2 linked regions of the Nothobranchius furzeri genome follow. The protein of the gene in region 1 interacts with the protein of each later gene in a biochemical or structural test. Links are inferred from orthologs where the notes say so. Each region holds a gene or a part of one and is shown on either strand. Other genes may lie near its edges.

What was found.
Region 2: the proteins of lztr1 (region 1) and kras form a complex in vitro, tested with the Homo sapiens proteins (2 studies listed by BioGRID, with this or other methods). The link is inferred for Nothobranchius furzeri from reciprocal best matches to the Homo sapiens genes LZTR1 and KRAS.

Annotation. Positions count from the first base shown.
Region 1 is NC_091757.1:45,256,797-45,261,041, reverse strand, and holds the start of lztr1 (leucine-zipper-like transcriptional regulator 1), read left to right. Parts: upstream 1-1,394; 5' UTR 1,395-1,618; coding exon 1,619-1,770; intron 1,771-1,855; coding exon 1,856-1,918; intron 1,919-2,001; coding exon 2,002-2,058; intron 2,059-2,136; coding exon 2,137-2,216; intron 2,217-2,307; coding exon 2,308-2,416; intron 2,417-2,593; coding exon 2,594-2,677; intron 2,678-2,756; coding exon 2,757-2,814; intron 2,815-2,917; coding exon 2,918-3,057; intron 3,058-3,141; coding exon 3,142-3,343; intron 3,344-3,535; coding exon 3,536-3,646; intron 3,647-3,725; coding exon 3,726-3,818; intron 3,819-3,929; coding exon 3,930-4,025; intron 4,026-4,245. UniProt on the Homo sapiens protein: Substrate-specific adapter of a BCR (BTB-CUL3-RBX1) E3 ubiquitin-protein ligase complex that mediates ubiquitination of Ras (K-Ras/KRAS, N-Ras/NRAS and H-Ras/HRAS).
Region 2 is NC_091744.1:73,814,789-73,819,075, forward strand, and holds the start of kras (GTPase KRas), read left to right. Parts: upstream 1-1,438; 5' UTR 1,439-1,694; intron 1,695-3,944; 5' UTR 3,945-3,951; coding exon 3,952-4,062; intron 4,063-4,287. UniProt on the Homo sapiens protein: Ras proteins bind GDP/GTP and possess intrinsic GTPase activity. Plays an important role in the regulation of cell proliferation.

The sequences.
Region 1 (4,245 bases):
ATGACCTGCAGCAACAAAAGAGATTCAGCCAAATAAAAAGAAGATATTTTTCTTATTACTTTGTAACAGTTTCATTTCTCCTTACTTTGCATCTACTTAACATTTTATTCATTTGACCAGTGCATTCAGCCTTTCCATAGACTATTCAGTATTTAAATAATGATTGTGTTCTTTCATTTAATGACTTCTTTCTGATTTCCCCCCAATAATCTTTATGTAAAATATTATGTGATCACATTTCTAAAGAAATTACTGAAATGTATTTTTGAATGTGTTTAAAACAATTCTATAAAACTCACTATCCCCCACCCCTCCATTACCGTGTAAACCGAGGCTCAAACAGGGTCTGGATTTATTGTTCATGAATGTTGGTGATTTTTCGTTCTTTGATGAAAAATGCCAGACTGAACGAGTTGACATTGACTGAGGTACGAGAATGTTCATGGAAGGATAGTGACAAAAGTACCCTTCTGACCCATTAAAGTATTTTTTCAGTTTTTGTGTTAGACATTAACTCTTATTTACAAGTAAAATGAAGTATGCAAAATAGATGACACTCGCTATGGATGCAGCTGAGGACATCAGGTGGGTACTATTATGATTATATGGATAAACAGTAGCAGGCATAATACCAGGAGTGTTAATGTTTATTAAGAACATCTGACTGGAAAAAGATCACAAATCAAAAATATACAGATTAATTACAAATCTTATGGATCTTTTAGATTTATGAGCCTCATATGGACTTATAAATGAAAAATCCACAAATTATTCAATCAGTTTGAAAAATTCAACTATTGGTTATTATGATGCAAAATATTGTCATCTTCAAAATTTTTTGAAATTTTAAAATGTATTTACTAATTTTGTATTTTTTCTTGACAAATATATACAACAAATGTGGCATCTATTTTAGTCATTTCTGAAATTATTCTTTTTATTATTATTTTGTCATTTCTGAAATTAACATACAGGAAGTGGAATCTTCACTGATGTTGTATCAGAAAAAGGCACTCCTGCCTTGTAAAGTTCCCCATCACCGGAAGCGCATTTCATTAGCCTTTTTTAACTACTGGGTTCAGTAAAAGTTTTTTAAGTCTTCAGAATCAGTGTTTTAATATAATGAAAGACACAACTTTATTTGGCTTGTTACAATGTGTATGGCGAGCTAGTTCTGCGGGGGTTGCTATTTTTCGGTAAAACACCGGTGCTACGGGGGCGTGGTTGACATCTGATCCTGATAACTGTCCTTTTATTTCAGTAGTCCTGATGTTGTACCTTCGTTAAGACATCATTAAATAAGTATTTCGAATCGAAAAAGTATTTAGTCGGTTAAACGGAACTTTTAGTGTAACTTTAGCCGCTACTAGCTAACCTTTCAGTTGTTTGTAGCATAGCGTGACGATAGCTAGCTAGCCGAGGCTAGCTCTGAGCATAGCTAGTAGCTAATTGTTAGTTGGGTCGCAGTTTCTACCTTTAACAAAGCGCAATTTATTCTTTCCACGCGTTTAATCTCGTTAGCAGAGAAATAAAACGCTCATTTGTACAGAGAAATGTCGCTAACAGAGGGCGTCCTTTCAGATGAGTGGCCCTGAGTTTGATCAGATGAGTTAGCGAAATGTCTTGTAAATCAACCAAAGTCGCCCCGAGTGTTGATTTTGATCACAGCTGCTCCGACAGCGTGGAATATTTGACGCTCAACTTTGGCCCGTTTGAGACTGTCCATCGTTGGAGAAGACTTCCTCCGTGTGATGAGTTTGTTGGTGCCAGGTATCAAACTGTCAGATCAGAGACATGAGAGGACATACTGCGTGTTGACCCCTGTTCATTCTGGGTGTTTTGCATCCTCACACAGGCGCAGCAAACACACAGTTGTGGCATACAGGGACGCCATATACGTGTTTGGAGGAGATAATGGGTGAGAATTTGTTGACAGGGATGGGTGTTTTATTTTTATTTTTTGCATACATAAATGTGTTCTAACTCTGTTGCACCCTACAGGAAGAACATGCTGAATGATTTGCTCCGCTTCGATGTGAAGGACTGCTCTTGGTGTCGGTAAGACTGCAGCAACCAAAAGAAACGCTTTAAATCAAGAATCTGACTTTAACACCAGTGGAAAACTGTGCCTTACAGAGCTTTCACCACTGGAACTCCACCTGCTCCCAGATATCACCACTCAGCTGTGGTCTATGGCAGCAGCATGTTTGTCTTTGGTAAAGTTGGCTGATTTTAGATCTGCAAAAACTGCAAAAACTTAGATTATTTTGAAATAAACGAGTATGGTGTCTGTATTTTATTTTCCAGGGGGCTACACCGGAGACATATATTCCAATTCAAACCTAAAAAATAAGAACGACCTGTTTGAGTATAAGTTTGCCACAGGACAATGGACTGAATGGAAAGTGGAAGGAAGGTAATATTCATTTATTTTTTGTGTATATGAAATTAGTTGGCACCAGTATCTGGGCTCATGTTAATTTTGAGAGTGAAATTGTCTAAAGTGTATTTTCTCTCCATGTAATCAAACAATTTTTTTTTTGCTAACTGTGAGGATAGAAGCTGATTTGTACAAGTCTTGTGGCTGTTTTAGCTTGCCGGTGGCCAGATCTGCACATGGAGCTACAGTCTACAACGACAAGCTGTGGATATTTGCTGGCTATGACGGGAATGCCAGGTGTGTGAGATAACATTCTGTTTTTACATCTACACATTCATCTCTGCGTTCCTAATAAGTTTATGTTCTGTGTACGTAGACTAAACGACATGTGGACCATCAGTCTGCAGGATCGTGATCATGCATGCTGGGAAGAGGCTAGTTAACTTCACCTACACATTTAAAATGGACAAAAACAAAAGATCCAGAAAGACTGAATCCATGTTTTTATATCTCTCTGTTTGGTTTTGTCACCGCCAGATTGTTCAAAGTGGTGAAATTCCTCCATCCTGCTGCAACTTCCCAGTAGCGGTGTGCAGGGATAAGATGTTTGTGTTTTCTGGTCAGAGTGGAGCCAAGATCACTAATAACCTCTTTCAGTTTGAATTCAAAGGCCACATGTGAGCATTGCCTTTCCTGATGAGTCAAACCATAAGTAGTGTGTGTGTTGGATAAAGTCACACAGGACTCCAACGTCTTCTCAGGTGGACGCGGATCCCAACGGAGCACTTGCTGCGGGGCTCTCCTCCACCTCCTCAGAGACGTTACGGACACACTATGGTCGCCTTTGACCGCCACCTGTACGTATTTGGAGGTGCTGCTGATAACACGCTACCCAATGAGCTGCACTGTTATGATGTGGACTCTCAGACCTGGGAGGTGATCCATCCCAGCTTTGACAGTGAAGTATGAACCAAAATGGTTTTCCTTATATTTTCTTTATCATTATTGTTCTGTTTATAGATACTTCATCGATTAGAGTATAGGAGATTCTTGATTTTGTCGCTAAAACCTTCAATAATTTCACTTGGGCTTGTAGTCCTATTTGATGCTCATTGCATGATGTTTCCATCCTGAAAACCAATTTGAACCCTACAGATGCCGAGCGGGAGGCTCTTCCACGCTGCGGCTGTGATCCAAGATGCCATGTACATCTTTGGAGGGACTGTGGATAACAATGTTCGCAGTGGGGAGATGTATAGATTCCAGGTGAGTGTTTACAAAGAAAGTAAATTTTCTTTAGACAACTTGGTCTAAAACTGATCACATTCAAATGTTTACATTGCAGTTCTCAAGCTACCCAAAGTGCACTCTCCACGAGGATTACGGTAAACTGTGGGAGAACCGTCAGTTCTGTGACGTGGAGTTCATTCTGGGCGAGGTGGGTCTTAATTGTTAAAAGAAAAAACGGAGGTTAAGCTTTGAAGTAGCTGATTAAAATCACATGGAAGGTAAACATGTTTTTTCTCATCTCCTGTTGTGTTGTTTACAGAGGGAGGAGAGAGTCTTGGGGCATATCGCCATAGTGACCGCGAGGTGCCAGTGGCTGCGGAGGAAAATCCTGCAGGCCCGGGATAGGCAGCGACAGGTCTGAGTCAGCACGCCTCATGTTTCCTGAGACTACAGGACTTAATCACAGTTTTAGCCCCACAAGTATTAATATGACTCAAGAAGGTACTTTTTACATTATGTAGAAATGAAGCCAAGTGGAAGCTGCAAATGAAATAATTGCAACATAAAAGGACAACTAGTTTTCTTTACAGGAACAAAATAAAGCTAGTTTTGAGCATCAAGGCTTGTGATATAAA
Region 2 (4,287 bases), on another chromosome or scaffold:
CCAACTGCAGCAACCACAGATCATAGCACTGCCCTCACAGGTTTGTACAGTAGGCACTAGGCATGTTGTGTGCATCACATCATCTGCCTCTCTTCTTACCCTGATGCACCCATCACATGGAACAGAGTCCATCTGAACTCATCAGACCAATTAATAATGTGTTGGGAAGTCCTTAACCCAATCTTAAGTCATTTCTCCTTAGATGTTTTCTCTGCATGATGCATACCAATAATTTGACCCCACTTAAACATCTTTTCCAAAGTAAAGCACTTTGGAGTCCTCTGACTCTGAAAGGTGCTACACAATGTGGGTCGTTTATCATTTCTTTAGTCTTGTTGAGGAAGACCAACCTTCTGTCTGAAGAAAGAGGGTGAACAGTTCTGTGCTAATGAGATCCTCCATTGTCTTTGCTCTGATTGTGCATCTGCTGGAGGAAATGCCCTCCAATGAGGAGAGGCAGCTGTTGGTAATTTTATTCAGCAGGTCTAGCCCATCTTTGCAGCACCTTCTTGTAATCCCCAAAACAAAACAGATGTTCATGCTGTAATTTTTTAGGATGGAAGATAATTTATTCAAAATAATAATAATGCATTTACCATTGTCTGCCATGGTTTCTAAAGCTTGATCAATCCAAATAAGTCTAAATTTAGACCTGATTCTAACTTATAACATTTTTAGTTGCCTCAGATACATAAAAAATATATAATTTTATAATTTTACTGGTTAGTCTTTGTGAGCGGCTCAGTTTAAGCAGCTGGGTCCTTTTGTTTGCAAAGATCCTTCTTAAATGCTTAAAACAGATTTTATTGACACAGAAATCCAATTTCGGCGCTTTAATGCCGTTTGTGCCCTCTGGATCAGAAGTCTGCGCTTTTTTACAAGCGTACTGTTTATTTATGCATGTGTGCAGCGCAGCAGCAGCGCCAGTGAGCACGTAGGAAAACTGACGGGGGATTGCCAAATCATTTCCTTGCTTGGGAATGACGTCCATCCTCCAGCACATTCCAGTTATATTTAGAGCCTATATATAGTGGAGTCGCCCCGTAGGCTTTGTTGACTCTGCGGCGCGCTGCAGCGGTAGCAGCGGGTCTCGCTGGAGGACACGAAACCCACTCTACGTGACCTGAAACCTATCAGTGTTGTCCGATTTTAATAAAAATGCAAGCACAAACATTCCGTTTGGTTTTAGTTTAGATGCAACAAAAAGAAAACACCGGTTTACTTGAGATATGGGAGTTGGAGAATGGGCATAGTTTGATATGACGAGGATCTTATCAACATATGGGTAATAATAAAAGAAACGAGCGTATTTTCGGGATCGTATTGCGACACACGCTTGAGTGATTTGACCCAGGCCGGTTGAAATCCACAGCTATGGTTTCTGGGTAAAGTAAGCCCTGGTATCCGCCCATATTCGCGTAACGCAGCAGGCCACACTGAGCAGCAGCGGCTAGGCCGAGGGGAAGCTGGATCTCATCAGATCAGATGGAAAGTTCAATCGATTAATTCGCCCACTTTATTTATTTTCCTTCCCCCTCTGCATGCTCCCGGTTGCTCCCGAAACCACGCTAGACCGACTCGAATGCGGGCTTTTTGGTGAGAAGTAGGAAATGCAGAGATCGTGTGAAGCGAGAGGATTATCTGCTTGACTTCTTTGGTCGCTACTTCAGACGCGGAACTTCACTCGCTAAAAGGTAAAACAAGCGCATAAGACGCATTAATGGCAGACTTTAGCATGTAGCCTTTGCGGAATTTCACTGTCTAATAAAACTAAGTTATTATGCGTTATTGAAACACTGGGCAGCCTCCCTGTAGTCAAACATGTTCGTTTTTGGCTAAACTACGCCCAGTTAACCTACCGTCTGGCCCTACATTGCAGAGCTTTAGCTAGCTTGTCGATAGCGGCTTCTCTTCCCGTTTGAATGGATGACAGACTCGGCTCAGACACACTGAGCTGACAGAACAATAATATCGGCTAGCCTTTTTTTAATTATAAAACACAACGGGAAAGTGCGCAAGACTTTATTTTTTAACAGTAATTAAGTGTGAATGAGCGATCTCCGATGCTAAGCTAGCTAACATCAGCAAAGTCGCCTGAAGTACCGAGGACGTTTTCTTCTAAACTATTAAGGATAGAAGATTTAAATCAAACTCCTTTCCACTTTTATGCGCACCCTAGGGGCTCCTGCCTTCTTGAAGTCACTAAAGAACTTCCTCTGATTCCTCACAGGTAGCAAACTGTTTTCCAAGTAGCATTTTTGTTTATATGGCTGCTAATCAATCCCCGCATTAGCCCTCCAATCGGGGCTGCGCTGAGCTATTGAGCCATGTTCTCCAATGTTGTTGATGTATTAAGAAAAGAAACCACTCCACCATGCTGGCACAGACGCCTGGAATAAACTTTCAGTTTTTCAAAGCCGCACCATAAAAAATTTCCTGCAGTTTCAGGCGGTGAAAGTGAACTTTACGACTTATACGACTTACCTGCTGCTTTTTAGACGAGGCTGTGCTCAGCTTTTTGCACCCCTGTTCAGTTGCATTTGCACAAGACTTTCTGAAAGGTGAAAATATGCTTTAGATGAACATTTTCCCACACGTTTATTTTCTGATTGATATCTAAAAACATCACTTCATTTGCATTAATATAAATCTGTAACTTGCTGGTTAAAAGAACAAAACAAAACTTATTTGTTGTTTTCATTGTCTGAGCTCTGCAGACTTTCATCAGTTTGCGCTGTAACTTCTGAAAAGGCCAGCTGCAGCCATCGATCCACAAAGAAGTCACACACCAGAGCTTCACAGCCGCTTGTCAATTTTGAAGCTTTAATGTAATATTATGGATTTATGCCTGTGGTTAGTTTTAGTTGTAGAGGGGACAGTCATTGTGCTCTTTTATTCTGAGACTTGATCACATTGTGCTCTTTTATTCCGAGACTTGATCACATGGGCAAAGTTTTTCTCCTAATCCTTTTTTTTTAGCTCTCTACTCAATTATTTCTCATCTTGAGTCTGGTATTTCCCCCCAGAATGATCAGTAATTATACAAATTTAGTTTGTGTAGAAAAATAGGTTTTTTATCATTTAGTTGATGGTTTTCTGAAATCAGATTAATTAAAATACAAGTGTTCCCTTATTTTAGCTTAACCTCTGTTTGATTAATGATCATTTGTTGTGATTTCACGGTTTGTTCTCCCCTCAAGCGCTGTAGTTGATTACTAAAATAACCTTTCATAAAACTCAACTGTGTAAAATCAAAATTTCCAGTGAATCAGCAATGTTTTTCTGCCAGGCCGGAGCACACAGATTTCAGTTTATCAGACAAAAATAACAGACAGGAACAGGATCAGAGATTCTGCTGGAGGGGAACCCTTGAAAATAACCCTTTTTATGTAGAATTTAGAGCTTTTTATGATTATTGAAAGAGATCATGTATAGTTTTACCATTAATCTCTGGAAATATCCATCAAAATGCTATTTAAAATTAATTAAATGATGCAGAGTTGTTGAAAAATATTGGCGGCTTTGTAACATATAACAATAAAAATCGGGTCTAAAATACATGGGAGCGGGTCTAAAGCTCTGGGCGATGCCATGTTTCCTTCTACGGGAGCCCGTGAGGACAAAATGCATTTACTGATTTGTAACAAACGGTTACAAAACTTTCACCATTCATAAACGTTGTTTTACACATTTACCTCTTCGCTCATTGTCAGTGATAAAAGCGGAGCGTAACTGCTGTTCTTCAGATGAACGTTGATTTTATACGAAGAGGAAGTTTAGCACAGTTAAAATAAATTGTATTACTTAATCACTACAAGAACGTACGGGGAAATCTCTATGGTTGACCAAATTTGACTTGAGGAGAGATGTAGGAACACTGTAATGAGTTAATGCTGTAACATTTGAGTACAAATGAGACAAATATTCTTTATTTTGTCCGGCAGGTGAAACATGACAGAATATAAGCTGGTTGTAGTGGGAGCTGGTGGTGTGGGCAAGAGCGCGCTAACTATCCAGCTCATCCAGAACCACTTTGTGGACGAATACGACCCCACCATTGAGGTAAACATAAATGTGTGTTCTTGTTAACTGCACTTCCATGTCAGGAAGCAGGGATGCAAAAATAATGAGAAACTCTTTTTAAAAGCTTGTAACTGGCTTTACTGGTTTTGGGTTTTAAAAAGACACCAAACAGGTTTTTAATGACTTTTCATGCTTGGCTCCTGGCCAAGCTCCTCAGTGCCAGCCACATGCAGTGTGAACAATCTCATCATGATTTCAATCAAT